4 linked regions of the Anolis sagrei genome follow. The protein of the gene in region 4 interacts with the protein of the main gene of each other region in a pairwise test. Links are inferred from orthologs where the notes say so. Each region holds a gene or a part of one and is shown on either strand. Other genes may lie near its edges.

What was found.
Region 1: the proteins of CCNDBP1 (region 4) and ZGPAT interact in binary tests that used the Homo sapiens proteins (3 or more experiments, as listed by UniProt). The two-hybrid records come from large-scale screens. The link is inferred for Anolis sagrei from reciprocal best matches to the Homo sapiens genes CCNDBP1 and ZGPAT.
Region 2: the proteins of CCNDBP1 (region 4) and myelin P2 protein-like interact in binary tests that used the Homo sapiens proteins (3 or more experiments, as listed by UniProt). The two-hybrid records come from large-scale screens. The link is inferred for Anolis sagrei from reciprocal best matches to the Homo sapiens genes CCNDBP1 and PMP2.
Region 3: the proteins of CCNDBP1 (region 4) and STK25 interact in binary tests that used the Homo sapiens proteins (3 or more experiments, as listed by UniProt). The two-hybrid records come from large-scale screens. The link is inferred for Anolis sagrei from reciprocal best matches to the Homo sapiens genes CCNDBP1 and STK25.

What each region holds. Positions count from the first base shown.
Region 1 is NC_090024.1:238,898,403-238,906,672, reverse strand, and holds the start of ZGPAT (zinc finger CCCH-type with G patch domain-containing protein), read left to right. Parts: upstream 1-5,095; 5' UTR 5,096-5,187; intron 5,188-8,270. UniProt on the Homo sapiens protein: Transcription repressor that specifically binds the 5'-GGAG[GA]A[GA]A-3' consensus sequence. Represses transcription by recruiting the chromatin multiprotein complex NuRD to target promoters.
Region 2 is NC_090024.1:39,056,907-39,064,745, reverse strand, and holds the start of myelin P2 protein-like, read right to left. Parts: upstream 3,092-7,839; 5' UTR 2,981-3,091; coding exon 2,908-2,980; intron 949-2,907; coding exon 776-948; intron 1-775.
Region 3 is NC_090023.1:226,719,342-226,727,538, forward strand, and holds the start of STK25 (serine/threonine-protein kinase 25), read left to right. Parts: upstream 1-4,975; 5' UTR 4,976-5,113; intron 5,114-7,852; 5' UTR 7,853-7,933; coding exon 7,934-7,963; intron 7,964-8,197. UniProt on the Homo sapiens protein: Oxidant stress-activated serine/threonine kinase that may play a role in the response to environmental stress.
Region 4 is NC_090024.1:247,310,415-247,317,859, forward strand, and holds the start of CCNDBP1 (cyclin-D1-binding protein 1), read right to left. Parts: upstream 3,304-7,445; 5' UTR 3,105-3,303; coding exon 3,041-3,104; intron 2,959-3,040; coding exon 2,845-2,958; intron 2,736-2,844; coding exon 2,656-2,735; intron 1-2,655. UniProt on the Homo sapiens protein: May negatively regulate cell cycle progression. May act at least in part via inhibition of the cyclin-D1/CDK4 complex, thereby preventing phosphorylation of RB1 and blocking E2F-dependent transcription.

The sequences.
Region 1 (8,270 bases), about 8.4 Mb from region 4:
GGCGCTGTGACGGTCTGGATGAGGGCGAACAAATTGAAATTGAATCCAGACAAGACAGAGGTACTCCTGGTCAGTCGCAAGGCCGAACAGGGCATAGAGTTACAGCCTGTGTTAGACGGGGTCGCACTCCCCCTGAAGACGCAGGTTCGCAGCTTGGGTGTGACCCTGGACTCATCGCTGAGCCTGGAACCCCAGGTTTCGGCGGTGACCAGGGGAGCATTTGCACAGCTAAAGCTTGTGCGCCAGCTGCGCCCGTATCTCGGGAAGTCTGACTTGGCCATGGCAGTCCACGCTCTGGTTACATCCCGTTTAGACTACTGCAACGCTCTCTACGTGGGGTTGTCTTTGAAGACAGCTCGGAAGCTCCAACTAGTCCAACACTCGGCAGCCATGATTTTAACAGGAGCGGAGCGCAGGGAGCATACAACCCCCCTGTTGCGCCAACTCCACTGGCAACTGATCTGCTACCGGGCTGAATTCAAAGTGCTGGCGTTGGCCTTTAAAGCCCTAAACGGTTCCGGCCCAAGCTACCTATCTGACTGCATCTCTGCCTATGAACCCACCAGGACTTTGAGATCTTCCGGGGAGACCCTGCTCTCGATCCCGCCTGCTTCTCAAGCTCGGCTGGCGGGGACGAGAGATAGGGCCTTCTCGGTGGTGGCTCCTCGGCTGTGGAACGCCCTTCCTACAGACATTAGACTAGCACCATCTCTAATGGTATTCCGCAAAAAGGTGAAGACCTGGATGTATGTGCAGGCGTTTGAGTAATTTAGTGCAATCTGGTAATGGAACATAGGAATGGAACAATGGACAACGAACCTGGACTACGCTTGGATGATGAGAAGATTGGGTACGGTTGTTTTTTGTAATAATTGTGCATTGTAATTGCTTATTGGTAATTTATGGATAATGTGTTAAGTCAATTGTTATATGTTGTATGGAACCACTGCTGTTTCTACTGTTTTTACTGTTTGTGAACCGCTGTGAGTCGCCTTCGGGCTTGAGATACAGCGGTATATAAGCAAAGTAAATAAATAAATAAATAAATATATCCAAGCCTTCTCCCAAAATAAGATCCCAACACACTTTACTCACAACTGCCATTCAAACTTGAGTGAAAACAGAAACCTTAACTAATGTAGTTGTTTCCAGATTAAGATGGAAACTAGTATTTAATGTAGCCTAGCTGCTTGTAAACAGAAGGTGGATGGAGAGCAGAGGGGGAGCCTGCATACCATAAATACTGATAGAGAATTGTTAATTAACTACTGTATATACTCAAGTATAAGCATAGTTTTTCAGCCCCTTTTTCAGCCTGAAAAAGCTTCCCTCGGCTTATATTCGAGTCAAGATTATTTATTATCTTACTCTATTATTAGTATGATTTTTATTACATTTATTAATTTACTCTATTATTATTACTACTATTTTATTACGTTTATTATTTTTCTCTATTTATTATTATTATTATTACATTTATTATTTTCTCTATTTGTTATTATTATTACACTTATTATTTTACTCTATTATTGTTTTGATTACATTTATTACATTTATTTATTTATTTACTGTATTTGTATACCGCCTTTCTCAGCCCATAGGCGACTCAAGGCAGTTAACAGGGTAAAATTCAATGCTTACAATATCATAAATACAATTAGAAGCATAACATATAATAAAAATTAACATATCAATAACATATAAATTTATAGTGTATCCTTGTTAAAAACATTGTCCGGTCTCATTGTTGCCATTTATTATTTTATTCTTACATTTATTATTTTACTTTATTATTATTGTTATTATTATGATACATTTAGATTATTCTACTCTGTTTTTTTAAAATATTGGTAGCCAGATTTTGTTCATTTTCATGGTTTCTTCCTTTCTGTTGAAATTGTCTACATCCTTGTGGATTTCAATGGCTTCTCTGTGTAGTCTGACATGGTGGTTGTGAGAGTGGTCCAGCATTTCTGTGTTCTCAAATAATATGCTGTGTCCAGGTTGGTTCATCAGGTGCTCTGCTATGGCTGACTACACAGAGAAGCCATTGAAATCCACAAGAAGCATGTGGACAATTTCAACAGAAAGGAGGAAACCATGAAAATGAACAAAATCTGGCTACCGGTATTAAAAAAAACTCTAAAATTACAACAGCAAAACAACAGAGCCAGACTACTAACGGGAGCGGGGTACAGGGAGCATACTACTCCTCTGTTGCGCCAGCTCCACTGGCTGCCAGTCAGCTTCCGAGCACAATTCAAAGTGCTGGTCTTAACCTATAAAGCCCTAAACGACTCCAGCCCAATTTACCTGTCCAAACGTATCCTCCCCTAGGAGCCACCAAGATTGCTAAGATCGTCTGGAGGGGCCCTGCTCTCAATCCCACCGGCCTCACAGGCGCGGCTGGTGGGGACGAGAGACAGGGCCTTCTCGGTGGTGGCCCCTCGACTCTGGAACTCCCTTCCACTGGAGATCAGAACTGACCCTTCTATCTTAACGTTCAGGAAACAGGTGAAAACTTGGCTTTGGGGATTGGCATTCGACGAATGAGCCATGATCCTGTGATATGGATGGATGACGACGAATAATGACTTTTGATGACGACTGACCCCTGTAATTATATGATTGTATTTTGCTATTTTAATGTTTTAGTGTGATTTAGAAAATGATGTTTTAATGACTGTCTGTAATATTGATGTTGGAAACTGGCCTGAGTCCGTCGAACAGAGGTGAGAAGACCGGTATACAAAACTGCTAAATAAATAATAAATAAATAATAATCACCTCTCAACAAAAGATTGCCCCAGGCACTGCCAGGCCATCAAATGCTAATCAAGGTGGTCAGTTGAAACATTCACACCTAGCTCCAACAGACAAGAGTCCTTTGTCCCCACCCTGGTCATTCCACAGATATATAAACCCATTTTCCTAGTTCCAACTACCTCTGAGGATGCTTGCCATAGATGCAGGCGAAACGTCAGGAGAGAATGCCTCTAGAACATGGCAACCTATTATTATTGTAATTTATCTATTATTATTATTATAATAGTGCAGAGTGCACCTTTTATGAGATTCACCTCACAGCAAAACCTTATACTTTTAACTTTATTTTTATAAATTATACTAGCTGTCCCTTGCCACGTGTTGCTGTGGCCCAGTCTGGAGATCTGGAAAATAAAGTAATGAGAAAGTGTTGGTTTCTAATATATGTAATTCCTTGATGCTTGTGAGTAAACAGTATTTCTTGTTGTTTCTTTGTCAGTGTTGATGGGGAGAGTGTCTGGTTTGCCTACTCTGGAATATGCAACATATCATAGTCCTTCTTTAAGGGTCTCTTTCAAATCTGTGATACTATATCTGTGTGTGTGAGAGAGAGAATCATATCTATCTATGTATATTTATGTCTGGATGGCTCTTTGTCAGGAGGGCTCTGATTACATTTTCTTGCCCTGGTGAAGAGAGTTGGACTGGATGGCCTTAAGTAATTTCTGTTGGTCATGGGGGTTCTGTGTGGGAAGATTGCCCCATTTCTGTTGTTTGTGGGTTTCAGAATGCTCCTTAATTGTAGTGAACTATAAATCCCAGTAACTGCAAATCCCAAATGTCAAGGTCTATTTCCTCCAAACTCCATCTGTGTGCATATTTAGGCATATGGAATTTTTGCGTCAAGTTTGGTCCAGATCCATCATTGTTTGAGTCCACAGTGCTCTCTGGATGTAGGTGAACTACAACTCCCAAACTCAAGGTCAATGCCCACCAAACCCTTCCAGTGTGTTTTGTTGGTCATGGAAGTCCTGCATGCCATGTTTGGTTCAATTCTATCATTGGTGGAGTTCAGAATGCTCTTTGATTATAGGTGAACTATAAATCCCAGTAAGTACAAATCCTAAATGTCAAGGTCTATTTCCCACAAACTCCATCTGTGTTCATATTTGGGCATATTGCATATTCGTGCCAGGTTTGATCCAGATCCATCATTGTTTGAGTCCACAGTGCTCTCTGGATGTAGGTGAACTACAACTCCCAAACTCAAGGTCAATGCCCACCAAACCCTTCCAGTGTGTTGGTCATGGAAGTCCTGTATGCCATGTTTGGTTCAATTGTATCATTGGTGGAGTTCATAATGCTCTTTGATTGTAGGTGAACTATAAATCCCAACAAGTACAACTCCCAAATGTCAAGGTCTATTTTCCCCAAACTCCATCTGTGTTTATATCTGGGCAGATTGAGTATTTGTGCCAGGTTTGGTCCAGGTCCATCACTGTTTGAGTCCACAGTGCTCTCTAGATGTAGGTGAACTACAACTCCCAAACTCAACATCAATGCCCATCAAACCTTTCTAGTGTTGTCTGTTGGTCAGGGGAGTCCTGTGTGTCAAGTGTGGTTCAATTCCATCATTGATGGAGTTCAGAATGCTCTTTGATTGTAGGTGAATTATAAATCCCAGCAACTACAACTTCCAAATGACAAAACCATAATGTTTTGAGTGATGGTCACTCCTTGTGTAGTGAGACGTTTTGTTGCCAAATTTGGTGTGATTTCGTTCATTGATTCTTTTGTTTTTAAGGTACTCATTATGCACAGAGCATTTTTATATATACAAATAGATATATTGTATTAATTTCCCATAAAATGCAGCTATATTTCCTATTAAAAGAATAACAACACATAAGCACACCAAACAGTTCTCAAGCATCCTCTAATTCTCCCTTCCCTTTTACAAAAATACTTTTAAAACATAAAATATATATTAAATAGAGTAAGAACAGCCCTGAGGCCTTGAAGAAGGAGACAAACTCACCCCAGGCCAAGCTCTCTCAGGCTGCTTCCCCTTTAGAACGCAGAGCATCCCGGGAAATGGAGTCCCCGCCCTGCCCGACGTCCCTTAGGCACGCCTTCCCCTTCGCCTCGAAAGAAACTACCCTTCCCGAAATGCACCGCGCCGCCTTGACGCTTCTCCCCGCTTGGCTCCTTGCGGCCATGAAGAACCACAGAGAGGGAAAGGCTAGAGGGGGCTTTAACGTAATCCAAGATGGCGGCAAACGCTCGGTTAAGGAAGCTTCCTGCTTTGTGGGGACTTGTCTAGCAAAGCGGAAGTGGCCGTGTTTGTGTGCCAGTGGAGGCCGGAAGAGGAGGATGGTGGCTGAGGGATGCTGAGAAAGGAAAAGAGAGAAGTTCTGCTGAGTTGAGTTGCTCTTGGTGGCCTTTGGAGTAATTGATATATCTATTATTAATGCATAATATGTAACATATAACACATATATTTATATTATATATATTATATATTGTAATAATATATACAGTAATAGATATATAATATATTATATATTATATATATAATCTTAGATATATAATATATAATAATATTATCTATATTATTAGATATATTAGACAGTAATAGCTATATAATATTGTATATATTTATATATTACTATATTATATATTATTATAATAATATTATATACAGTAATAAGATATATAATATATATTATATATATAATCTTATATATATAATATATATCTAATAATGTTAAATTTAATTTATCTATATTATTAGATATATTAGACAGTAATAGATATATTATATATATTATATATATATTATATATATAATCATAGATATATAATATCTAATAATATTATATATAATTTTATCTATATTATTAGATATATTAGGCAGTAATAAATATATAATATTATATATATTTATATATTAATATATGTTATATATTATAATAATATTATATACAGTAATAGATATATAATATATTATATATTATATATATTATATATATAATCTTAGATATATAATATATATCTAATAATATTATATATAATTTATCTATATTATTAGATATATTGGACAGTAATAGATATATAATGTTATATATCTATAATCTTAGATATACATAATATATACTTAATAATATTATATATAATTTTATCTATTGTTGTTGTTCATTCGTTCAGTCATCTCCGACTCTTCGTGACCTCATGGACCAGCCCACGCCAGAGCTCCCTGTCGGCCGTCACCACCCCCAGCTCCTTCAAGGTCAGTCCAGTCACTTCAAGGATGCCATCCATCCATCTTGCCCTTGGTCGGCCCCTCTTCCTTTGACCTTCCACTTTCCCCAGCATCATTGTCTTCTCCAAGCTTTCCTGTCTCCTCATGATGTGGCCAAAGGACTTCAACTTTGTCTCTAGTCTCCTTCCCTCCAATGAGCAGCCGGGCTTTATTTCCTGGAGGATGGACTGGTTGGATCTTCTCGCAGTCCAAGGCACTCTCAGCACTTTCCTCCAACACCACAGCTCAAAAGCATCTCTCTTCCTTCGCTCAGCCTTCCCTAAGGTCCAGATCTCACATCCGTAGGTTACTACAGGGAATACCATGGCTTTGACTAGGCGGATCTTTGTTGCCAGTCTGATGTCTCTACTCTTCACTATTTTATCGAGACTGGACATTGCTCTCCTCCCAAGAAGTAAGCGTCTTCTGATTTCCTGGCTACAGTCTGCATCTGCAGTAATCTTTGCACCTAGAAATACAAAGTCTGTCACGGCCTCCACGGTTTCTCCCTCTATTTTCCAGTTGTCAATCATTCTTGTTGCCATAATCTTGGTTTTTTTGATGTTTAGCTGCAACCCGGCTTTTGCGCTTTCTTCTTTCACCTTGATTAGAAGGCTCCTCAGCTCCTCCTCGCTTTCGGCCATCAGAGTGGTGTCATCTGCATATCTGAGGTTGTTAATGTTTCTTCCACCAATTTTCACCCCAGCTTTGCATTCATCCAGCCCCGCACATCACATGATGTGTTCTGCATACAAGTTAAAAAGGTTGGGTGAGAGGATGCAGCCTTGCCGTACGCCTTTCCCAATCTTGAACCAGTCTGTTGTTCCGTGGTCAGTTCTGACTGTTGCTACTTGGTCCTTGTACAGATTCCTCAGGAGAGAGACAAGGTGGCTTGGTATGCCCATCCCACCAAGAACTTGCCACAATTTATTATGATCCACACAGTCAAAGGCTTTAGAATAGTCAATGAAGCAGAAGTAGATGTTTTTCTGAAACTCCCTGCCTTTCTCCATTATCCAGCGGATATTGGCAATCTGGTCTCTCGTTCCTCTGCCTTTTCTAAACCCAGCTTGAACGTCTGGCCACTCTCGCTCCATGTCTGTCTGGAGTCTTCCTTGCAGGATCTTGAGCATTACCTTACTGGCATGAGAAATAAGGGCCACTGACGGAAGTCTCTGATGTCTCTACTCTTTACTATTTTATTGAGATTGAACATTGCTCTCTCCCAAGAAGTAAGCGTCTTCTGATTTCCTGGCCACAGTCTGCATCTGCAGTAATCTTTGCACCTAGAAATGCAAAGTCTGTCACGGCCTCCACCTTCTTCTCCCTCTATTTTCCAGTTGTCAATCATTCTTGTTGCCATAATCTTGGTTTTTTTTTAATGTTTAGCTGCAACCCAGCTTTTGCGCTTTCTTCTTTCACCTTGGTTAGAAGGCTCCCCAGCTCCTCCTCGCTTTCGGCCATCAAAGTGGTGTCATCTGCATATCTGAGGTTGTTAATGTTTCCTCCAGCAATTTTCACCCCAGCCTTGCATTCATCAAGCCCCGCACATCCTCGCATGATGTGTTCTGCATACAAGTTGAAAAGGTTGGGTGAGAGGATGCAGCCTTGCCGTACGCCTTTCCCAATCTTGAACCAGTCTGTTGTTCCGTGGTCAGTTCTGACTGTTGCTACTTGGTCCTTATACAGATTCCTCAGGAGAGAGGGAAGGGGGCTTGGGATGCCCATCCCACCAAGAACTTGCCACAGTTTATTATGATCTACACAGTCAAAGGCTTTAGAACAGTCAATGAAGCTGAAAGAGATGTTTTTCTGAAACTCCCTGCCTTTCTCCATTATCCAGCGGATATTGGCAATCTGGTCTCTCGTTCCTCTGCCTTTTCTAAACCCAGCTTGTACATCTGGCAACTCTCTCTCCATGTATTGCTGGAGTCTTCCTTGCAGGATCTTGAGCATTACCTTACTGGCATGAGAAATAAGGGCCACCGTACGGAAGTTGGAGCAGTCTTTCGCATTTCCCTTTTTTGGTATGGGGATATAAGTTGATTTTTTCCAGTCTGATGGCCATTCTTGTGTTTTCCATATTTGCTGGCATATGGCATGCATCACCTTGACAGCATCATCTTTTAAGATTTTAAACAGTTCAGCTGGGATCCCGTCATCTCCTGCTGCCTTATTGTTAGCAATGCTTCTTAAGGCCCAT
Region 2 (7,839 bases), about 210 Mb from region 4:
GGGCTTAAAGCTAACCTTAAAAACTGTGGCATAGATACTGAGAACTGTGAAGCCCTGGCCCTTGAGTGTTTTAACTGGAGGTCAACTGTGACCAGCAGTGCTGTGGAATTTGAAGAGGCACTAATGGAGAGCAAAAGGGAGAAACGTGCCAAGAGGAAGGCATGTCAAGCCAACCCTGACCAGGACTGCCTTCCACCTGGAAACCAATGCCCTCACTGTGGAATAATAATAATAATAATACTTTATTTATACCCCACTCCATCTCCCCCAAGGGGACTCGGGGCAGCTTACATGAGGCCATGCCCATGAACACAATAAACAACAGTATACACAAAACATAAAATGCAAAAAACTATACACACACACACACACACACACAGCAATATACAATCAAACATCAAACACAAAATATTCCACAGGGCAGGGCCGCTTCAGAATAAAAAATTAAAAATGTAAAAACAATGGGAGATAGGCAATGTAGGATTGTCATGATGGGGAGCCGGGATGAGAAGGGATTTAATTGCACGAGCCATAAACTAAAGTGCTTCTGAACATGCGGGTCATGAATAGGTCTCCACAGTCACCTACGTATCCACTGCTGAGACACTACTCTTGAAAAGGCTTCATTCTCGGACAGTGAAGGATCGCCTAAATAAGAAAAGCAAGTAAGCTGATGTGAAACCTTCCAGCGCTGTTCAAAGGACAAAATAACTCTGGTTGCTCAAGTTTGAGAAAACAATAGCAAGTCTAGTGGAAGAGAGTGATGACCCATCACCTTGGTTTTCCTGTCATCTGCTGTGGTCTCCTGAAATTCCTGGCCCAACTTAAAAGTGATCTGGGTATTTTTGAAGGTGCTTTCAGTTCTGATTGTCATCTGGTCACCCTTCACACTGATGATGACTCTGGGTTTGGCCAAACTGCCAAGTTTCCTGGTGGCCAACCCCACCCCTAAATGAAGGACACAGAAAACCACATTATACTTCATTTGGCAAGAAAATATATCTTACACACTGCAAAAATACATGGCTCTTAAAATATCCTTGAAAAGCACAAAAGGGGAAAGGAGTGAATAAGTTAGGTATACAAGTAAGGGGCTACAAAACACCAAGCTTTACCCTTTAAAATTATCTTTTAGTAAGTAGAATACAGATGGCCTCAAATAACACTATGTAACACAACTTTTGTTCTGGGATTATAAATGTCATTTCCTAATTGGTTCTATCATAAAAAAATATGGAAAGAGATTATTAAATGCAAAAACTCTGTTTTTGTGGGGTATCCTGCAACACATTGGGCTATAGTTTTCGATAAATATTTTATAGCGTCACAACCAATTCAACATAGTTTGAGGCACAAAAATGAAGTTTCTAAAGTATAGCAACTACTTTCAATGTAAGTACCACACAATGAATCAGGAAATAATACGTTCAAACCAGGAACAGGAAAAAAACAACAATTTTGTTACATAGTGTAATCTGGAAGAAACATAAAAACTGCCTATTACCATGTTTGGACCATGTTTTAAAAGAAAGGTCATAATTGACAGACGATCAAGGTTAGAAAAAAAATATCAGTACAAAAAGGAGTTACTTTTATATGATGTTTTAGTTTCCCTATATACCAAAAGCCTGTATGTTTATTAATGCGCATGGCAATATTTTGAGCATTTCGTACATGAATTCTCATAGCTGAATGCATATATTGCCTTTACAGAAAAATCCATGTCTACCACTTCAGTAATGTTTCAGACTACTTTAAGTGCAATACAACAGTGCTGCAGAGGCGAAAGATGTGGAGTCCAGGAGAAACAGCATCTGCTGCATCAAGCAATCACCTTCCTCCCTGTGGCGTTTGCCTACCAGGCATTTGAAAAAATAATGCATTTAAAGTAGTTTCATATTGGGGAAAAAGACTATGCATTAAATAGATAAATAAACAAGCAAAAAGGTACACATCTATATATTTAAAGAGAACAGGAACATGTGTCAGCAAGTGACAAGAATTAGTTTTCTGTCCTCACTGTGTTAATAATTCAGTTTGTTTACCATGCTCAAGTAGCTGTTGATACAAAATAATACACTCCTATTTTGAATGATATTGACAATGTTAAGTACAGAAGACATATATGTAAAAGCAAGTGGAAGCACACATGGCTATGTCTAAGGTAAAGGTAAAGGTTTTCCTCTGAAATTAAGTCCAGTCGTGTCCGACTCCGGGAGTTGGTGCTCATCTCCATTTCTAAGCTGAAGAGCCAGCATTGTTCATAGACGCCTCCAAGGTCATGTGGCCAGCATGACTGCATGGAGCACTGTTACCTTCCCACTGGAACGGTACCTATTGAACTACTCACATTTGCATGTTTTCGAACTGTTAGGTTGGTAGAAGCTGGGGCTAACAGCAGGAGCTCATGCCACTCCCTGGATTCAAACCTTGACTTTTTGGTCAGCAAGTTCAGTAGCTCAGCAGTTTAACCCACATCTAAACTCAATCAATTATATATATATATATATATATAGCAGGACTACAAAGAAGTAGGTGAAATAATAATAGTGACACAGCAACAACAACCATTATGTAAGCTATGTAAAAAAAATACTGTGAGTATTTCTGTAGAATTAAAATGTACCAGGACCATCTTCAGAAGAAAATAATAATAATAAATAAGCAATTTATTTATTTCTCATACAAAGGAAAAGGAAAGCAACAAGAACGAAACAGAAAAGGAAGAAGAAAATTCTGAATGTGGTTAGTAAGAGACAAAAAATGACAAATTTATCTTCTGTTTTTAAACTTTCTTCAAATGCTTAGATTAAAAGTTTGACAATAAGCACAAAAGGCTCTCAGAAGAAATGAAGGAACAAAAGGACAACAAAGAAAATTTCCCAGTGAAATCAAACCAAAACTCACCCAATTCTTTCATGTAATCATCAAAGTTTTCACTAGAAACAAGTTTCCAGGATCCAACAAATTTCTTGCACATTGTATGAGTTTTGCTAGGCAGTGTTTCCTTGGGAGAATGGTGTGACAAGAGTAGTTCTCAGGCAGCAGGGTTGTGAAAGCCCACCGTCTTTTAAGAAGAGGCCCAGAATACGTAGAGTTCAGGGCCACCCAATGCAGAGGGGCAACGTCAGAGGCAAAACAATGGGCATCTTGTCCCAAGCCATTCATCTCAGTACCAAGGCTGGCCGCATTTGCCAGCCACCAACTCCTCCACTATGACACAAAGTCAGAACACTTTGGAGACTGATGGGGAAAGCTAGCTTCTATTATGCCGGAAGAAAGGTCCTGTACACAATGCCACCATGGAGAACAATATTGGGTTTTTAGGAGGGTTTCATGAGGATGAGATGGCATGTATTCAAGAGAAGAGTAAAGGCCTTGTATTCAGAATGGAAAGGGAAATGAACTGACCATGAGGAATATATAGAATAATGATGGGCAATGTGTAGGAAAATATGCCCTCTGAGTTACAACAATGCCTTATCCAGCCCTTCTTTCTTTAACCCAGGCCTTGTGGAAAATTCTTGCCAAAAAAAGTTAAACAGAAGAATGCCTGCTCCAGGAGCATAATAAAATCTTTAAAACTGAGAGACAGAGAGAGAGAAGAAATTGCCTTGGTGGGTGGTATACCCTCCATCTTTGAAAGGAATGCTGTAGATGTGCATTTTTGCACAGCAAGAGTTGGACTAGATGGCCCTTATGATCTCCGAAAACTCTTACAGTCTTCTAAAACTCTCAGGTGTTTTGTCCAGAGGAAGACAAAGTAGTCAAGAGTCAACTTGCTTTTCCCTCTTGCTCCTCTCCAGGTTGAGTGCAGCATAAATAGGTTTTAGGTAAAATAAAGTGGCCCTCGTTTAACCCAATTACCTGTGTCTGGTCTCTTTATTCCATGATTGGTACGCAATATAACCCTGGACCCAAATGGTAACAGCACTCTGATGGTCTGTATGGCAGGGAGGCCTGAGATTATTAATAAAACATGAACATAATTTCAAACTTTAAAAATTACTGATGTACCCTTAGAGATCTCCCAACTCTTATTTCACAAACTGTATTATTGAAACGTTCACACCATATACCAAAATTGGTTACAACTTGTTTAATTGTGCTCTTCTCTTTTGTTGCTTTCCTTGAGTAAGTGTTTTTGAAAGTATATTGTTGTTAATGTTCTCTCTTCAAGGCATCTTGGTGTGTCTAAAATGCTCTCCTCTATTTGGTTGACCCTAGATGTTTAACCTCCATCCATTCCAGTCAGCAAGGGCAAAGATCAGGAATGCTGAACATTTTAATCCAAAACACAGGGCACCAGATTGAGGGCTATTTGTTTCATCATTTCCATGTACCTTTAACACACAGGTGCTTGAAATATGATTCTTTAGATGTTGTCAGACTGCAGACCTCAGAATACTGGGAGTTGCAATGCAATAACATTTGGAGTCCCAATCTTGTTCTGTCAGATCAATAAAATTGGTGACAGTGAGCAGATAGCACTGGTTAAATCCAGAATGACATTATCTCAGCTTGTCTTGACTCTAAAGATGCTTTGTAGGAGGCATGAGGCAAACAAATCAGCACTGCCCTGGACTGCCACTTGTGATGATGGTCCATTTTGCCCTTTGCAATGCATACTCCTTCTCGTCGGTCTCCTCTCCATGATTTTACCATCCCTAGGTATTAACAGATAAAACCATCAACAGGTCCCATGCACCCCCTCTCCTCCCTCCCCTTTACATTCCCAAGCTGTCTGTTTTCCTTTTATTTTATATTTTCTGGTTGTTGTTTTTTTGCTTTTTTGGGGTTTTTTTCAAGGTGAAGTTGCAGAATTATTCTAAAAATAAAAAGTAAAAAATGGAATAGTGGTAGTGTGGGAAAGCAGGGTTAGTTTAATAAACTATTTTGTTTTGATGGGGATGTACCATAGCCTCACATTCTATGGACTGAGTTTAGCTACATATGCTTAAGCATTAAGGCAGAAGCAAGAAAGGTGGAACATAGCTTTTGGCTTTTCTTATTTTTAAATTACAAGGTAGTTCATGGGAAGCAAATCCTCCACCTAGAGAATACACATTCCTCCCAAATGTGATGAACATTTGGACATGTGATGCCAAGCAATATCAAAACATGGTCAAAATGGCAGCAGTTAAAAAAAACCCAAAATAACAGAGAAGGCAGGAGAGATTACAACAGTTAACTTTTCCCTGAATCTACTAGGAAGGGCAAGACCATTGGAAATGACTGCTTAATGAGTTGAGTATGAACCACTTTTGTATTCTGAAGTTTGTAATAACTGAGATATACTGAGGAACAGGGGATAAAACGGATGTTTTCAAAGTAGGTAAGGAGTGGTACAACAGATGATTAAATGGTTCAGGTCCAGGCTATGTGTCTAACCGCATTTCCCTATATAAACCATCTTGTGCACTGCAGTCAGCAGAGGAGGCCCTGCTCTCGGTTCCACCCTCATCACAAGCAAGACTGGTGGTAACAAGAGGGGGCCTTTTCTGTGATCACTCCCCATCTCTGGAACTCCATTCCTAAAAAATTAAAATGGCCCCTGCCCCCCTCTCCTTCAAAAAAAGTTCTGAAAACTCACTTATGTACCTTAGCATACAGAAAGGAGAACTACCACTTGACAGCATTCCTTGGGTGGTTGGTGTTTGGGGAGGACATTGCGGGGGTTGGGTTACATGTTCATGGAGCTTGCTCTAACCTGCAATGTCAGTGGAGGGAATGCCTTTGGAGGCTTTTCAGAACTTGGAACTACAGCCTGTTTGTGGAGGCCAGAGGCTATCTGTGTAAGTCTGACTTGGCCACGGTAGTCCACGCTCTGGTTACATCCCGCATTGATTACTGCAACGCGCTCTACGTGGGGTTGCCCTTGAAGACTGCCCGGAAGCTTCAGATGGTCCAGCGCTCGGCAGCCAGGTTGCTAACGGGAGCGGCACTCAGGGAGCGTACCACTCCTCTGCTGAGCCAGCTCCACTGGCTGCCAATCTGCTACCGGGCACAATTCAAGGTGCTGGCTTTAGCCTATAAAGCCCTAAACGGTTCTGGCCCCACTTACCTCTCTGAACGCATCTCCACCTATGAACCGACTAGAACATTAAGATCGTCTGGGGAGGCCCTGCTCTCGCTCCCGGCTGCGTCACAAGCACGCTTAGCGGGGACGAGAGACAGGGCCTTTTCAGTGGTGGCCCCTCGGCTATGGAATGCCTTACCGGTAGACATCAGACAGGCACCATCATTGCTGGCATTTCGGAGAAAGGTCAAGACCTGGCTTTATGAACAAGCGTTTGGTTAACAGTGCAACCGAACATAGGAAGACGGTAAATGGAACATAGGAATGATACAAGGATTATGAGATCGGATCTGATTTCATTGAGGCGCTATGTTTGTTTCATGTTGTTTGTTAATTGTTGTGGATCGGTGTTGTTGATCCTGTTGTTATATTTGTTGTATTTTTAATTGCACTGACATTGTTATGATAATTTGTACCTGTAAACCGCATTGAGTCGCCTTTTTGGGCTGAAAAATGCGGTATAGAAATAAAGCAAATAAATAAATAAATAAATAAGTAGATAGCTCGGCCACATACACACATTTTAACTTTTATTATGTGTATAGATAGAGATATGTATTTCTCATTATGCTAACTGTAATTCTTTTTGGTAATAAGTTCATTAATATTTTTTATTTTTCATTGTGATTTTTAGCATGGCATTGAATGTTTGCCTGTTTTATATATATGTAAACCGCCCCGAGTCCCTACCAGGAGAGAGGGTGGTTAGAAATGATAAACAATAATAAATCAAGTCTGTCCCTTCCAAATTGGAAGAGTTGTTGGAGGGTATAAAGTTCTTCATTCAGATACATTGTCCGATGTTATCTTCCACAGAGAGATGGTATACAGCAGCATTGTATCTATATAAAATCAGACTATTACTGGCCCAGTTACTGACTATCAGATTGGCACCAGACCACCAAAACTTTTCCCATCCACACCCATGATAAACCAAGATGTCAGGAATTGAATGTATGCCTTATATGTGTTGTCTCCCAAGTTATGGCTCTCCCATACAGATGAGCTCGTTTCATCCTTGGAGCTGTCTTGTAAAACATGTTTCACCTAGTTAATTCAGGTTAATCTGCTGTATCTTTCTTGTATAAAGGAGGCATGTTTCACTAATTTTACAAGTTTGATAACATGGCAAATTAGTTTTTGTTATTCCAAATAGAAGAGGGGGGCAACTTTTTGTCTATGTGGTAAGTCTTGGTTCCTTTAGCACAATGATTCTCAACCTGTGGGTCTCCAGGTGCTTTGGCCTACAACTCCCAGAAATCCCAGCCAGTTTACCAGCTGTTAGAATTTCTGGGAGTTGAAGGCCAAAACATCTGGGGACCCACAGGTTGAGAACCAGCATTTATTCCATTCCCATATTTTGATGTTCCAGCCTTCACAGTAGTAATCCTTAAAGAATGAGCCTGTAAATTATCTAGTAACTTCTCCAGACTGCAAGAATGCACACATGATTTTAATGTTCCTTGCTACAGAGAATTCACGCTGAAGTAAGTTGGTTAATCACAAGACACCTGCTTTTTTTTTTGCTACTGACTGCTTTTCAGTCATCAAAAGTGCTATAGCCCACAAATACTTATGCTGAAATAAATGTTAATTTTGAAAGATGTTACAACATCTCTTTCCCCATCTTTTAAGACTGATAATAGATAAGCACAGCTCTTTGGTAGTTGGCCAAGCAGATGTGCCACCATCAAGAGACTTTGTGCAGTGATTGTGTCTTCCTAACACTGACAAGAAACCCTCCTAGGATTTTTACACAT
Region 3 (8,197 bases), on a different chromosome or scaffold from region 4:
TTCACTTGAGATTAGGGTTGCCACTTCAGGATCACTGAAGGCCCTGAGGTTTCTGGGTCACGACCTGGGACCTAGGATAGACTCCTGGTAATGTCTTCAAGTGTAATAGATTAAGGACAATCCCAGTTGCTCACGGCTTATTCATCATATACAGAGAAAACTCGAACATCAAGACAGAAACCCAGATCAAGATGAAACATGTGGATTACTCTTTCTCATTTATTTAGACATAAATAATATTAATTCTAGACTCCTTGTTTCTAACTGAAAGGCAAATGCAGCAGAGCAAAGCTTGAGTGAATCCTAGCATCACAATAATTATTATATTATTATAGTCATTTATATACTGTTTTTTTTTTCTCTAAAAGGGAGGGGAGAAGGAAACTAACTCAAATAGCTACATAGATCCCCTGGAAAGTGTTCACAAGTTGCAGGAACCAGTCCATTCAGCCTTGCAAAATAGCCGCAAGAGTCTGGTCTTCTAGCTGAGGTTGCAGGCTGCATGCAATCCTTTCTGCTTCCCTGGAGCTGAGCTCACCAAAACTGGAGAAATTGCACCATTGTCTTCTGTCTGGAAGATGACGCATGGAAACCAGAGAGCCAGGGTTAGGATTTGAAATCTGGTTCTAACCATTACAGGCATAAATCAGGCCTGTAATGGTATTCCATAACTATGCTTCCATAGCAGAGGAGGTGCTCTCCCACATTAATGCTTTGTAGACTTGGCGCCATCAGGATGGGGACCCTTGGAATACAAAAGTGGGATCAGAAAGGTTGAATCAAGTTGACACCACAAAGAGTCAGTGACATCAAGACCAACTGTTGGTGATTAAGAAATGACATGTTTTTGTGCTATAAATCCTGTCCCAGATGGCAAAACAAATGTTGTTATACAATACATTCATATCACAGTGTCCAACACACATTTTCATACCTGAAATTTTATACCTGCTTCTGGGTATATTTGACCTGCTGGTTCTAAAAATTGCACCAGTTTCCCCCTACCGGCTCTAATTTTTGAGATACAGAACATATGCCATCTACCAGAGCTTAGCACAACAGGCTAAACCACTGTGTTGCAGAAAAATACTGCCGATCAGAAGGTCAACAGTTCGAGCCCAGGTCAGGGTTAAGTACCTTTGGTTAGCCCCAGCCCACCTAGCAGGTTGAAAGCAGAAATGCGAGTAGATAAAATAGGTACTGCTTTTAGCGGAGAGAAGTGCTCTTAAAGACATCCTTGGCATGGAAGATGGAGCAACAGTACACCCCCCCTCCCCCCCACACACACACAGCTGGTCAAGCACAGCCTCAAAGATGCCGGAAATAAGATGGGAAAAACTGCCTTTACCTCTGTTGTGTTGTCTGTTCTTGTTATCGTATAATCGGTATTGAATGTTTGCCGTATGTATGTTCTATAAAGCCACTCTGAGTCCTCTTTGGGGTGAGAAGGGCGGAGTATAAATATTGTAAATAATACCAGTTGCTATCTCTTCACTCATAGAAAACCATGATTTTTGTTGTTTATTCATTCAGTCGCTTCCGACTCTTCGTGACCTCATGGACCAGCCCACACCAGAGCTCCCTGTCGGCTGTCACCACCCCCATCTCCTTCAAGGTCAAGTCAGTCACTTCAAGGATATCATGCATCCATCTTGCTCTTGGTCAGTCTCTCTTCCTTTTTCCTTCCATTTTCCCCAGCATAATTGTCTTCTCTAAGCTTTCCTATCTTCTCATTATGTGGCCAGAGTACTTCACCTTTGCCTCTAATATTCTTCCCTCCAATGAGCAGTCGGACCTTATTTCTTGAAGTATAGACTGGTTGGATCTTCTTGCAGTCCAAGGCACACACATACATACACAATACTTACTCTCACACAAAACTTTAATACAGAACGTAGGCTGCTATAGCAATTAGCAGAAGGGTATGTAAAACTAAAGGTTTTCTACTGATAGGCAGGGCCAGATTCACGGATATTTTTTTTAAAAATTTTAAAACACTGGGAGATAGGACATTGTAAATTATAGGGAGGAGGCTCTGGGAATGAGGAAGGATTTCATTGCACAAACCATAAAATAAAGTGCTTTTAAGGACATTTTGCGCAAAATGTGGTCAGGGAGAATCTTACATTAAATTACTGAAAGGCACATTGGAATAACCAGGTTTTCAAATTCCTCCTGAAGATTGCCAGTGTGGGGGCTTGCCTAATATCTCTGGGGAGTGAGTTCCAGAGCTGAGGGGCCACCACAGAGAAGGCCCTCAACAGAAGGGTAGGTAAAGGTTTTCCCCGGCATTAAGTCCAGTCGTGTCCAACTCTGGGGTGTGGTGCTTATCTCCATTTCTAAGCCGAAGATCTGGCATTGTCTGTAGACACCTCCAAGGTCATGTGGCCGGCATGACTGCATAGAGCGCTGTTACCTTCCCACCGGAGTGGTACCTATTGATCTACTCACATTTGCATGTTTTTGAACTGCTAGGTTGGCAGAAGCTGTGGCTGACAGCAGAAGCTCGCGCCGCTCCCCGGTCAACAAGCTCAGCGCTTTAACCCACAGTGCCACCGGGGGCTCCTCAACAGAAGTGTGCCAAAGGTCAAATAAACATAAAGGCATTTATATCAGTTAGTACTGAACTATCATAGTGTTGACATTCTTGGGAATTTTCGTACAATTTCCTTTCAACCACTTGAGCAATCGGACCCCACCCTTTCTGTAAACTAAGAACCAGCCATTCTGGCCAAAGCAACTTTACCTATTCTTTTGGGTTTTATCTAAACCAAATGAAGCGTAAACAAAGGTTGGAGATAGGCACCGCACCTGCCTGCCTGGTTGGGTAATCCAGCCAGATGTATGCAGCCAAGCCTTTGCTGACGGTTTGTTCAATAACACAGGCACTCTTGTCTAGAATCATAGAGTTGGAAGAGACCTCATGGGCCATCCAGTCCAACCCCCTGACAAGAAGCAGGAAAACTGCATTCAAAGCACTCCCGACAGATGGCCATCCAGCATCTGGGTTGTTGTAGGTTTTTTTGGGCTATATGGCCATGTTCTAGAGGCATTCTCTCCTGACGTTTCACCTGCATCTATGGCAAGCATCCTCAGAGGTTGTGAGGTCTGTTGGAACTAGGAAAATTGCGTTTATATATCTCTGGAATGACCAGGATGGGACAAAGAACTCTTGTCTGCTGGAGCTAGGTGTGAATGTTTCAACTGACCACCTTGATTAGCATTTGATGGCCTGGCTGTTGTTTGGTGTAGCTTGTTAGTGCCTGGGGGAATCTTTTGTTGAGAGGTGATTAGCTGTCCCTGATTGTTTTCTCTCTGTTGTTTTGCTGTTGTAATTGTAGAGTTTTTTTAAATACTGGTAGCCAGATTTTGTTCATTTTCATGGTTTTCCCCTTTCTGTTGAAATTGTCCACATGCTTATAGATTTCAGTGGCTTCTCTGTGTAGTCTGACATGGCGGTTGTGAGAGTGGTCCAGCATTTTTGTGTTCTCAAATAATATGCTGTGTCCCAAACACGAATCAAGGAACATGAAAGGCACTGCAGACTAATTCAACCAGAGAAGTCAGCCATAGCAGAGCACCTGATGAACCAACCTGGACACAGCATAGTATTTGAAAACACAGAAATGCTGGACCACTCTGACAACCACCATGTCAGGCTACACAGGGAAGCCATTGAAATCCACAATCCTGTGGACAATTTCAAGAGAAAGGAGGAAACCATGAAAATGAACAAAATCTGGCTACCAGTATTTAAAAAACTCTAAAATCAGGACAGTAAATAAAGAGAAAGATGAATTCCAGACAGAAAACAATCAGGGCCAGCTAACATATCCCAACAAAGGATTCCCCCAGAAATGCTGTATTCTCAAATAATATGCCTCTAGAACATTGTCATATAGCCCGAAAAACCCCACAACAACCCAGTGATTCCAGCCATGAAAGCCTTTGACAATACATCCAGCCTCTGGGTTGTTGTAGGTTTTTTCGGGCTATATGGCCATGGTCTAGAGGCATTTTCTCCTGACGTTTCGCCTGCATCTATGAGAAGCATCCTCAGAGGTAGTGAGGTCCTCACAACCTCTGAGGATGCTTACCATAGATGCAGGCGAAACGTCAGGAGAAAATGCCTCTAGACCATGGCCATATAGCCCGAAAAAACATACAACAACCCAGTGATTCCGGCCATAAAAGCCTTCGACAATACATCCAGCCTCTGTTTAAAAGCTTCCAAAGAAGAAGCCTCCACCACACTCTGGGGCAGAGAGTTCCACTGCTGAACAGGTCTCACAGTCAGGATGTTCAGATGTTATTTCCTTTATTGTAGTGTGAAGCCATTGTTCCGCGTCCTAGTCTCCAGGGCAGCAGAAAACAAGCTTGCTCCCTCCTCCCTGTGACTTCCTCTCACATATTTATACATGGCTATCATGTCTCCTCTCAGCCTTCTCTTCTTCAGGGTAAACATGGTCAGCTCTTTAAGCCGCTCCTCATAGGGCTTGTTCTCCAGACCCTTGAACTGCTCCCTCCTCCCTATGACTTCCTCTCACATATTTATACATGGCCCTCATCATGTCTCCTCTCAGTCTTCTCTTCTTCGGCTCTTTAAGCCGCTCCTCATAGGGCTTGTTCTCCAGACCCTTGATCATTTTAGTCGCCCTCCTCTGGACACATTCCAGCTTGCTGAAGTCCAAAACACCTGGAGGGCCTAAGTCGGTCCAGGCCTAATGTAGATACATTCTAGCCTGGAGGAGGCATTCTTTGAGAGAGGATAGATAGAGGATGTGCCTCTGTTTGTGTCTCCTCACAAACTCTCTTTCCCAGACACCTCCGCGCCTCTGGAGAGGCTGGCCGCGGATTGTCGCAATGCACGCCGGTTATTGCAGTCCCTGCTCCACTATATCCTAACGGAAGCTCGGAAGAGAAGAACTACCTTTCCCAGAAAGCCTCGTTCTGGGATAGGTTCCTGCGCATGCCTGTTTGCGCTCCCGCTCCTTTCCCCCCTCCCTCCTTGCCTGCCTGCCGCCCTTGCCGTTTGCTGTTCCCGAGTTCTCTCAGTATCCTGGGCTGGTCGAGAGCGGAGGGAGGATGGACGGGACGGAACAGCGGGGCTCAGGTGAGAGGAGAAGGAGAACGGCAATGGAACGCGGCTGGCTCGGCGCGGAGGGAGGGTGGCGGGACAGCAGCAGCAGCCCGTTGCCATGGCAAGGTGTCTCCAAGGGGCTGGGTGGAGCTCTCTCTCTCTCACTGAGGTGGGGGCAGGCCCATTGCGTCACTGCCATGGGGGGGGATTCGAACCTCTGTGGACTATACCATCTGATTGAGGGACGGGGGACGACCAATAGATTCTATCCCATTCATCAGAAATTATTATTATTATTATTATTATTATTATTATTATTTTAAAAGGTATTATTATTATATCTGTAATCATATATATATATTGTATCAATGTATCTATAAGGCTAAAACTCTTGTACTAATTCAGGCTGCATCTACAGCAGGCCTGGCCAACTTGGGCCCTCCAGGTAATTTGGACTACAACTCCCACAATTCCTAACAGCCTAGCGGCTGTTAGGAATTGTGGGAGTTGTAGTCCAAATCACCTGGAGGGCCCAAGTTGGCCCAGGCCTGATCTACAGTGTATACAGTTTGACTCAGTTGAATTTCCATGGCTCAGTGGTATGGAGTCGTGGGAGTTGTAGTTGCTCAAAGGTCTTTCTCTGCCAAAAAGTGCTGGTGCCCCACCAAAACAACAATTTCCATTATTCTATTGCATTGAGCCATGGCAGTTAAAAGTGGTCCCAAACTGCATTAATTGTACTGTGTAGGCGCAGCCATTGGTTCCATCCTGGAATTCGTAGCTCAAGATTATCTCCAGAGCCCCTCCCTCCAGCAAAAATATAGTAATATCTATATAAATAAAAATGTAATGTCAGTTTGTGGGATTAACGTAACTCAAAAACCACTGGCCGAATTGACACCAAATTTGGACACAGTATACCTATCAGGGCAACGAGTGACCAACACTGAAAAACACAGCGGAAGAGACTTAAAAAGCCAAAAAATAAAAATACATTACAATGAATGCGCAAAACCACATTTATACATATATACACACAAAACACATATACACAGACTGGGCCACAGCAACGCGTGGCAGGGGACGGCTAGTATAATACTAATTTTGTGCTGTGGTAATATTATAATGTATTATATGTGTATATATATCTATATCTTGTAAGCTGCTCTGAGTCCCCTTCGGGGTGAGAAGGTTGGCATATATATGTTGTATATAAATAAATAAATTTGTGCTATAACCATATATACACACACAAAATACATATACACACAGACTGGGCCACAGCAACGCATGGCAGGAGATGGCTAGTATTATAATATACTAGCCGTCCCCTGCCACACATTGCTGTGGCCCAGTCTCTGTATATGTTTTGTTTGCGTTTATATGTGTGTGTGTATATGTGTATATATGTGGTTTTGCGCATGCGTTGTAATGTAAATTTTTTTGGCTTTTTGAGTCCCTTCCACTGTGTTTTTCAGTGTTTTTATGAGTGATGGTCACTCGTTGGCCTGATAGGTGTCTTGTGTTCAAATTTGGTGTTGTCCAGTGGTTTTTGAGTTATGCTAATCCCACAAATGAACATTAGATTTTTATTTATATAGATTGTATACACATCGAATATTGATAATAATATTATCATATCATACACTATAATACTAATAATAATACAATGTAATAGTTATATAGTTATATATAATAGTTATATAGTTATATATTTTATATTACATGTAATATTACTAATCATATTACAGTATAGTGGTATAGTACAATATAGTAATATAGAATACTAATATTGTGCTGTGCTAATATTATAATATATTGTGTACACATATAATATTGATAATAATGTTATCATGTAATATAATACTAATACAATATAATTATTTTATATTTCATATTACATGTAATATTAGTAATAATGTTACAGTACAGTGGTATAGTACAATATAGTAATATATAATACTAACATTGTGCTGTGCTAATATTATAATATATTGTATAAACATATAACAATGATAATATTATAATGTAATACAATATAATACTAATAATAATACAATATAATAATTACATATTTTATATTACATGTAATATTACTAATAATATTATAGTATAGTGGTATAGTACAATATAGTAATATATAATACTAATATTGTGCTGTGCTAGTAATGTAATATATTGTATACACATAGAATATTGATAATACTATAATATAATACAACATAATACTAATAGTAATACAATATAATAATTTTATACTTCATAATACATGTGATATTACTAATAATATTACAGTAGAGTGGTATAGTAAATATAATAATATATAATACTAATATTGTGATGTTCTAGTAATGTAATATATTGTATGTACAGGTATCTTGTAAGCCGCTCTCAAGTCCCCTTCGGGGTGAGAAGGGTGGGATATAATTGTTATTATTATTATTATTATTATTAATAATAATAATAATAATAACAACAACAACAACAACAATAATAAACTGTGTTATTCCATACGATGTTGCTGTGGCAATTAAAGTGTTGTCATTGTTCGGTGTGAGACATTTTTTGGTGCAGAAGTTTGTATTAATCCCAAGATGGAAGTAGCCCATTGGAAGTACTAGTCGTCTATTATTATTATTATTATTATTATTATTATTACTACCCTGTTTTCTCTCTCTTCAAAGCAGCTCTTTTATCTTTTAAGGTGGCAATTTAAATAAGAGCCTTTCAGCGTGATTCAATTGTATTTCCCCCCCTATGTTTTGTTCATAGTGTAAGTGATCCCAACAAGAGACAGAAAACCCTCTTCTGTTTGAGAGGACTGGTGCATGGGTCTTGTGCCAATCTCCAGCCATGGCTCACCTGAGGGAATTTGCCAACCAGGTAAGCGAGAATTACGGAAACCTGGGGTCCGTGGGCCACCAGTAGTTCACAAGAACAAAAATATGGTTCGCAACCTCACCGTTACTACATAATTGCCTTGAAACCACATGGCAACAAGAGCGAATGGCCTTGTGAAACCCTTTTATAGTGCCGAGGCAACTGGGATGTTGGGAGGGGGGATGCTGACTAAAGATTTATACTACCACATCAGCTCTAGATTATTAAATATGGTTT
Region 4 (7,445 bases):
GCTTGAGAAGCAGGCGGGATCGAGAGCAGGGTCTCCCCGGAAGATCTCAAACTCCTGGTGGGTTCATAGGCAGAGATGCGGTCAGATAGGTATCTTGGGCCGGAACCGTTTAGGGCTTTAAAGGCCAACGCCAGCACTTTGAATTCAGCCCGGTAGCAGATCGGTAGCCAGTGGAGTTGGCGCAACAGGGGGGTTGTATGCTCCCTGCGCTCCGCTCCTGTTAAAATCATGGCTGCCGAGCGTTGGACTAGTTGGAGCTTCCGAGCTGTCTTCAAAGGCAACCCCACGTAGAGAGCGTTGCAGTAGTCTAAACGGGATGTAACCAGAGCGTGGACTACCGTGGCCTAGTCAGACTTCCCAAGGTACGGGCGCAGCTGGCGCACAAGCTTTAGCTGTGCAAATGCTCCCCTGGTCACCGCCGAAACCTGGGGTTCCAGGCTCAGGGATGAGTCCAGGGTCACACCCAAGCTGCGAACCTGAGTCTTCAGGGGGAGTGCGGCCCCATCCAACACAGGCTGTAACCCTATGCCCTGTTCGGCCTTGCGACTGACCAGGAGGACCTCTGTCTGGCAAATGGCATGCATCACCTTGACAGCATCATCTTTTAAGATTTTAAACAGTTCAGCTGGGATCCCGTCGTCTCCTGTTGCCTTGTTGTTAGCAATGCTTCTTAAGGCCCATTATATATTATATATATATATACAGTATATATAATGTGTGTGGCATGGGCAAACTTTTTGACCAACATAAACTTAACAGTATTTCAATGGAAAACTCCAGGGGACATCCAGTCCAACCCCCTCTATTCTGCCATACAGGAAAAGCACCCCCAACAGATGGCCATCCAGCCTTTGCAATAATAAGAGAGGGGTGGGGACGGCTGACAAGGAGCTCTGGCTTGGGATGATCCAGGAAGTCACAAAGAGTTGGAAGCGACGAAACGAATGAACAAAATAGGTAAATCTAAGATAAGCAGAAAGATAAGCAGGATCAAATAGTCTAGGAAATGAATCCATCAGAGTTCATGAAAAACAAATATAGAAACGTCCAAAGTAAAATTCCAAAACTTGAATCATGAATCAAAAAGGCACCTAACATGAGTATCAAACAACTATTATTATTATTATTATTATTATTATTATTATTCAAAGGCATGATGACTATCTGTCAGGAGGGCTTTGATTGTACTTTTCCTGCCTGGCAGAAGATAAGGGGCTGGGCTGGATGACCTTTGGGGGTCCCTTCCAACACTAGAATTCCATTGTTATGATGATGAAGCAGAGGTTGAGTGGCCATCTGTCCAGAGGACTCTGATGGTGCTCTTCCTGCAGAATGGCGGAATAAAGGGGGGCTGGACTAGATGACCTTTGGGGTTCCCTTCCAATTCTAAGATTCTATTGTTATTATTATTGTTATTATTATTATTAAACAGGAGCTGGATGGCCATCTATCAGGGTAGCTTTGATTGTGCTTTTCCTCCCTGAAAGAATAAAGAGGGCTGGACTGGATGACCTTTGGAGTTCCTTTCCCATTTTAGGATTCTATTATTATTATTATTATTATTACTATTATTATTATTATGAAGCAGAGGTTGGGTGGCCATCTACCGGGAGGGCTCTGATGGTGCTTTTCCTGCAAAATGGCAGAGTAAAGGGGGCTGGACTAGATGACCTTTGGGGTTCCCTTCAAATTCTAAGATTCTATTATTATTATTAAACAGGGGCTGGATGGCCATCTATCAGGGTAGCTTTGATTGTGCTTTTCCTCCCTGAAAGAATAAAGAGGGCTGGACTGGATGACCCTTGGGGTTCCTTTCCCACTCTAGGATTCTATTATTGCTATGATGGTGATATTATTATTCTTCCCCTATTATTATTATTATTATTATTCAGAGGCATAATGAGTATCTGTTGGGAGGGCTTTGACTGTGCTTTTCCTCCCTGAAAGAATAAAGAGGGCTGGGCTGGATGACCTTTGGGGCTCCCTTCCAATTCTAGGATTCTATTATTGTTATGATGGTGAAGCAGAGTCTTATTATTATTATTATTATTATTATTAAGCAGAAGTTGGGTGGCCATCTGTGGGGAGGGCTCTGATGGTGCTCTTCCTGCAGAATGGCGGGATTAAGGGGGCTGGACTGGATGACCTTTGGGGTTCCCTTCCAATTCTAAGATTCTATTATTATTAGTAGTAGTAGTAGTAGTAAACAGGAGCTGGATGGCCATCTATCAGGGTAGCTTTGATTGTGCTTTTCCTCCCTGAAAGAATAAAGAGGGCTGGACTGGATGACCTTTGGGGTTCCTTTCCCACACTAGGATTCTACTATTATTATTATTATTATTATTATTATTATTATTCAGAGGCATGATGAGTATCTGTTGGGAGGGCTTTGACTGTGCTTTTCCTGCCTGGAAGAAGATAAGGGGCTGGACTGGATGACCCTTGGGGCTCCCAATTCTAGGATTCTATTATTGCTATGATGGTGAAGCAGTCTATAATAATAATAATAATAATAATTATTCTTAAGCAGAGGTTGGGTGTCCATCTGTGGGGAGGGCTCTGATGGTGCTCTTCCTGCAGAATGGCGGAATAAATAAAGGGGGCTGGACTAGATGGCCTTTGGGGGACCCCCTTCCCTCTCCCGGAAGGACCCACCTGGCGGGGCGGCGGCGGTGGGCGGGCCAAGGCGAGGCTCAGGGCGGAAGCTTCTCGGCTGGCTGCCTCGAAGGCGCCCCCTGCAGGAGGAGGAGGAAGGAGGGAGACAGAGAGTGAGAGTGAGAGAAAGAAGTCCTCCAAGGCCATAGAGAGGCGCCCCAGAGAGAGACCTCCCCCCTGGCTACCTACCCAGGGCATCCCAGAAGCCTCCGGGGTCGAAGGCGGCCTCTTTTTCTTCGTGCTGCTGCTGCTGCTCTTCTGGCTCCTCTCGGCTTCCGTCGCCGCTCCGCCCGGCCTCTCCGCCTGCGAGACAAGCGTGCCCCTGAGCGCGTGCAGAGCGCCCCCTCTCTCTCCATCCCTCCCGAAAGGAAGGAAGGGCCCTCACCTCTCAGCCCCGACAGCGCCGCCTCCAGGCCCCCGCGCAGCGCCTCCAGCGGCGGGCACGACATCGCGGACTCCCAAGCGAAACAGCTCCAGGCCCCCGCACTCCGGCTTCCGTAGGGGAGCCGGAAGTCCTGGGGTAAGGCAGGTGACGCACTTCCTGTCCCGTGTTTTCACTGTCCCTGGGCCTCGAGTCCAGGCCGAGGCTGGGATTTTATGGTCCTCCGGGAGGAGGGCGACGGTTGCCCTGGAAACGCCCAAGAGGTAGCCCCGCCCCCTGAGGGGAAGCCCCGCCCTTCAGCCGCAGGCCCCGCCCATCTGGCTACAAGCCCCACCTTTGAGAGGAAGCCCCGCCCCCTTGAATAGTATTCGTGCCCCCTGAGAGGAAGCCCCGCCCCCAGGCTATAGGCCCCGCCCTCTTGAATATTCATGCCCCCTGAGGGGAAGCCCCGCCCTTCAGCCGCAGGCCCCGCCCATCTGGCTACAAGCCCCGCCTTTGAGAGGAAGCCCCGCCCCCTTGGGTATTATTCATGCCCCCTGAGGGGAAGCCCCGCCTCTCCGGCTACAAGCCCCGCCCTTGAGAGGAAGCCCCGCCCCCTGGAATAGTATTCATACCCCTGAGGGGAAGCTCCGCCCTTCAGCCGCAGGTCCCGCCCATTTGGTTACAAGCCCCGCCCTTGAGAGGAAGCCCCGCCCCTTGGGGGTATTATTCATGACCCCTGAGGGGAAGCCCCGCCCTTCAGCCGCAAGCCCCGCCCATCTGGCTGCAAGCCCCGCCTTTGAGAGGAAGCCCCGCCCCCTTGGGTATTATTCATGCCCCCTGAGGGGAAGCCCCGCCCTTCAGCTGAAGGCCCCTCCCTTTGAGGGGAAGCCCCGCCCCCAGGCTTTAAGCTCCTCCCCTTTGAGTGGAATTCATGCCCTTGAGGGGAAGCCCCGCCCTTCAGCTGAAGGCCCCTCCCTTTGAGGGGAAGCCCCGCCCCCAGGCTTTAAGCTCCTCCCCTTTGAGTGGAATTCATGCCCTTGAGGGGAAGCCCCGCCCTTCAGCTGAAGGCCCCGCCCATTGAGAGGAAGCCCCGCCCACCACAAAGTAAGCCCCGCTGATTGAGAGGAAGCCCCTCCCCTTGAGTGGAATTCCTCTGAGGGGAAGCCCCGCCCTACAGCTGAAGGCCCCGCATTTTGAGAGGAAGCCCCGCCCATCGGGCTACAAGCCCCGCCTTTGACAGGAAACTCCACCCCTTGAGTGATGTTCATGCCCCCTGAGGGTGCATCCCAGCCTCCCCTTCCTCATCCTCCGAGTACTCAGACCCTGACCAGGCTGCAACAATTCATGACTTGGATGAAAGTTTATTTATTTCATTTCCAAAGCATTGCATGAATAAGTATAAAACTGATTAAAAATAGAGTTAATGCAAGCGTATTACAGGGTGTGCATATGTATGCTAAGTCTTCACAAGGATCATCTCCTGTATGGGTGCGTGTTGAGGAAGAACACCTGGACAATTAAGCAATCAAGCTTGAGCCACTCCCTGCAAGGAGTATATCATGAGGAGCATTCAGATCATGAAGACAGTCGTTCATGGAGAGAAATGATGGGACTTCCATGCTGATGGTCATTCTACCATGGACTTACTACAGGACTTGCTGAAGGTCTGGACCATTTGCTACAAGACTCCTTGCAGCATTGAAGAAACAGAGAATGCACGGTTTTAATGCATTGGACTTTGTGCGAGTTATTTTCTGCAATGGACTGAGTTTATTTTCAAGGCTGGTTATTTTGTAAAGCTGCATATTGATCTCTGACTACCAGGGGCGGCTCGTCCATTACGTGAAGTAAGCGGTCGCAGAACACTTTTTTTTTGCCAGGGGCGCAGAGGCGCCTCTGTAAATGCCCCTCGACCGCCACTTGAGGAGCACCCCCTCAGCTCACAACAGCCCTAGCAGTCCGGGGGGAGCCTCAGCTTCCTTGCCTCGCTGCCGGGCGATCCTCTTCCCAAAGGGGCCGGGCCCTTGAGCCTCGCCTAGCCCCTCTCGTTCCTGCTCCACCTGGCCAGCGGGTGCGCGAGCAGAGCCGGCGCTCAATCGTTCTCCGTGTTCGATCCCTTCCCCATGACTGGCTCCCTTTCCTGATCCCCCGGCACTCCACCCGCCTCCTCTCCTCTCTCGTTTCGGGTCCAGAGGCGTGTCTGAAGACCCCAGCGTGCGCACCAAAAGTCACCTCTTCTCCTGACTTTCTCTTCAGCCATTGGGACCAAGAGAGAGAGAGAGAGAGAGAGCCCCTCCGGCTGGAAGTATCTCCCACCTCCGCTCCCTCCTTTGTTTTTGCACCTACCTTCAGGAAAGGTGGGCATCTCCACCTCTCTCTCTCTCTCTTTCTCTCTCTCGGTCCCAATGGCTGAGGAGAAAGTCAGGAGAAGAGGTGACTTTTGGTGCACACACTGGGGTCTTCAGGCACGCCTCCAGACCCAAAGCGGGCCAGGCAAGGGAGCAAGTGCGGCAAGTGTAGTTACTGGGATGTATAGTTCGCCTACAATCAAAGAGCATTCTGAACTCCACCAATGATGGAACTGAACCAAATAGGGCACACAGAACTCCCACGACGAACAGAAAATATATATCAATGATTGGGTGGGGGGGGGGGAGGAGGCACCAAAATACTGTTTGCTTACCATTGAAAATTACCTAGGGCCGCCTCTGCGTACTACTCAAGGGTAAATTTTGTTTTCCCTTTTACTCTGACTGTGTGAATCAACAGAGGGCTGGGGCTGGGAAGACTGCTGAGTAGCTTCCACATAGACTGATAAACCACAACAAAGCGGTTAAAGAATTTTTGACCAAAACTGGGCAACAGCAACCGCAATGTCGGCAGCTTTAAAGAATTTTCCCTCTGTGCATGAGGCAGGGCATTCTGGACAAGCATGCGGATGCTGAGTTGTTTGTTCTGCTCCACACTCGCACAAGGTGGAGGATTCTTCTAGGCAGTGGTTGTCTTTTGATCTGCTAACTCCACTTCTGAGTCTGTTCAGGGACTTCCAAGTTGCCCATTCTTGGTTTACCTCTAGGTATGTTTATCAATAGTAGTTTATCAACGAGTAGATCAATAGGTACCGCTCCAGCGGGAAGGTAACGGTGCTCCATGCAGTCATGCCGGCCACATGACCTTGGAGGTGTCTACGGACAACGCTGGCTCTTCAGCTTAGAGTCAGACATGACTGGACTTAATGTCAGGGGACTACCTTTACCTTTACCTATGTTTATCAAGTTTTCAGATGACACCCAATTAGGAGGGAGACCTAATATTCCAGAGGACAGGATCAGGATTCAAAATGACCTCAACAAATCAGAGAGCCAATTGGCCAAAATCAACAAAATGAATCTCAACTAGGACAAATGTAAGATACGACACTTTGGCAGAAATGCAAAGATGGGTGACGGCTGGCTTGACAAGAGTTACATGGGGAAAAGACCTTGGTTGGAGTCTTCATGGAGGGCAAACCGAACATGAGCCAAGAGTGTGGTGCAGCAGCTAAAAAAGCCAATGGGATTATGGGCTGCATCCAAAGGAGTTGGTTAAGTGGACGAACACAGAGAGTGCTCACTAATGCTTCCTCTTCATCTTAGAAAGAAGTGACGAGCGGAGTGCCGCAGGGTTCCGTCCTGGGCCCGGTCCTGTTCAACATCTTTATTAATGACTTAGATGAAGGGTTAGAAGGCATGATCATCAAGTTTGCAGACGACACCAAATTGGGAGGGATAGCCAATAGTCCAGAGGACAGGAGCAGGATTCAAAACGATCTTGATTAGAGAGATGGGCCAAAACTAACAAAATGAAGTTCAACAGGGACAAATGCAAGATACTCCACTTTGGCAGAAAAAATGAAATGCAAAGAGACAGAATGGGGGACAATGCCTGGCTCGAGAGCAGTACGTGTGAAAAAGATCTTGGAGTCCTCGTGGGGAGGAAGGTAAACATGAGCCAGGAATGTGATGTGGCGGCAAAAAAAGCCAATGGGATTTTGGCCTGCATCAAGAGGAGCCTAGTGTCTAGCTCCAGGGAAGTCATGCTCACCATGCTCTATTCCGCTTTGGTTAGACCACTTTACCTGGAATATTGTGTCCACTTCTGGGCACCACAATTCAAGAGAGATATTGACAAGCTGGAATGTGTCCAGAGGAGGGCGACTAAAATGATCAAGGGTCTGGAGAACAAGCCCTATGAGGAGCGGCTTAGGGAACTGGGCATGTTTAGCCTGAAGAAGAGAAGGCTGAGAGGAGATATGATAGCCATGTATAAATATGTGAGAGGAAGCCACAGGGAGGAGGAGGGAGCAAGCTTGTTTTCTGCTTCCCTGGAGACTAGGACACAAAACAAATGGCTTCAAACTACAAGAGAGGAGATTCCATCTGAACAT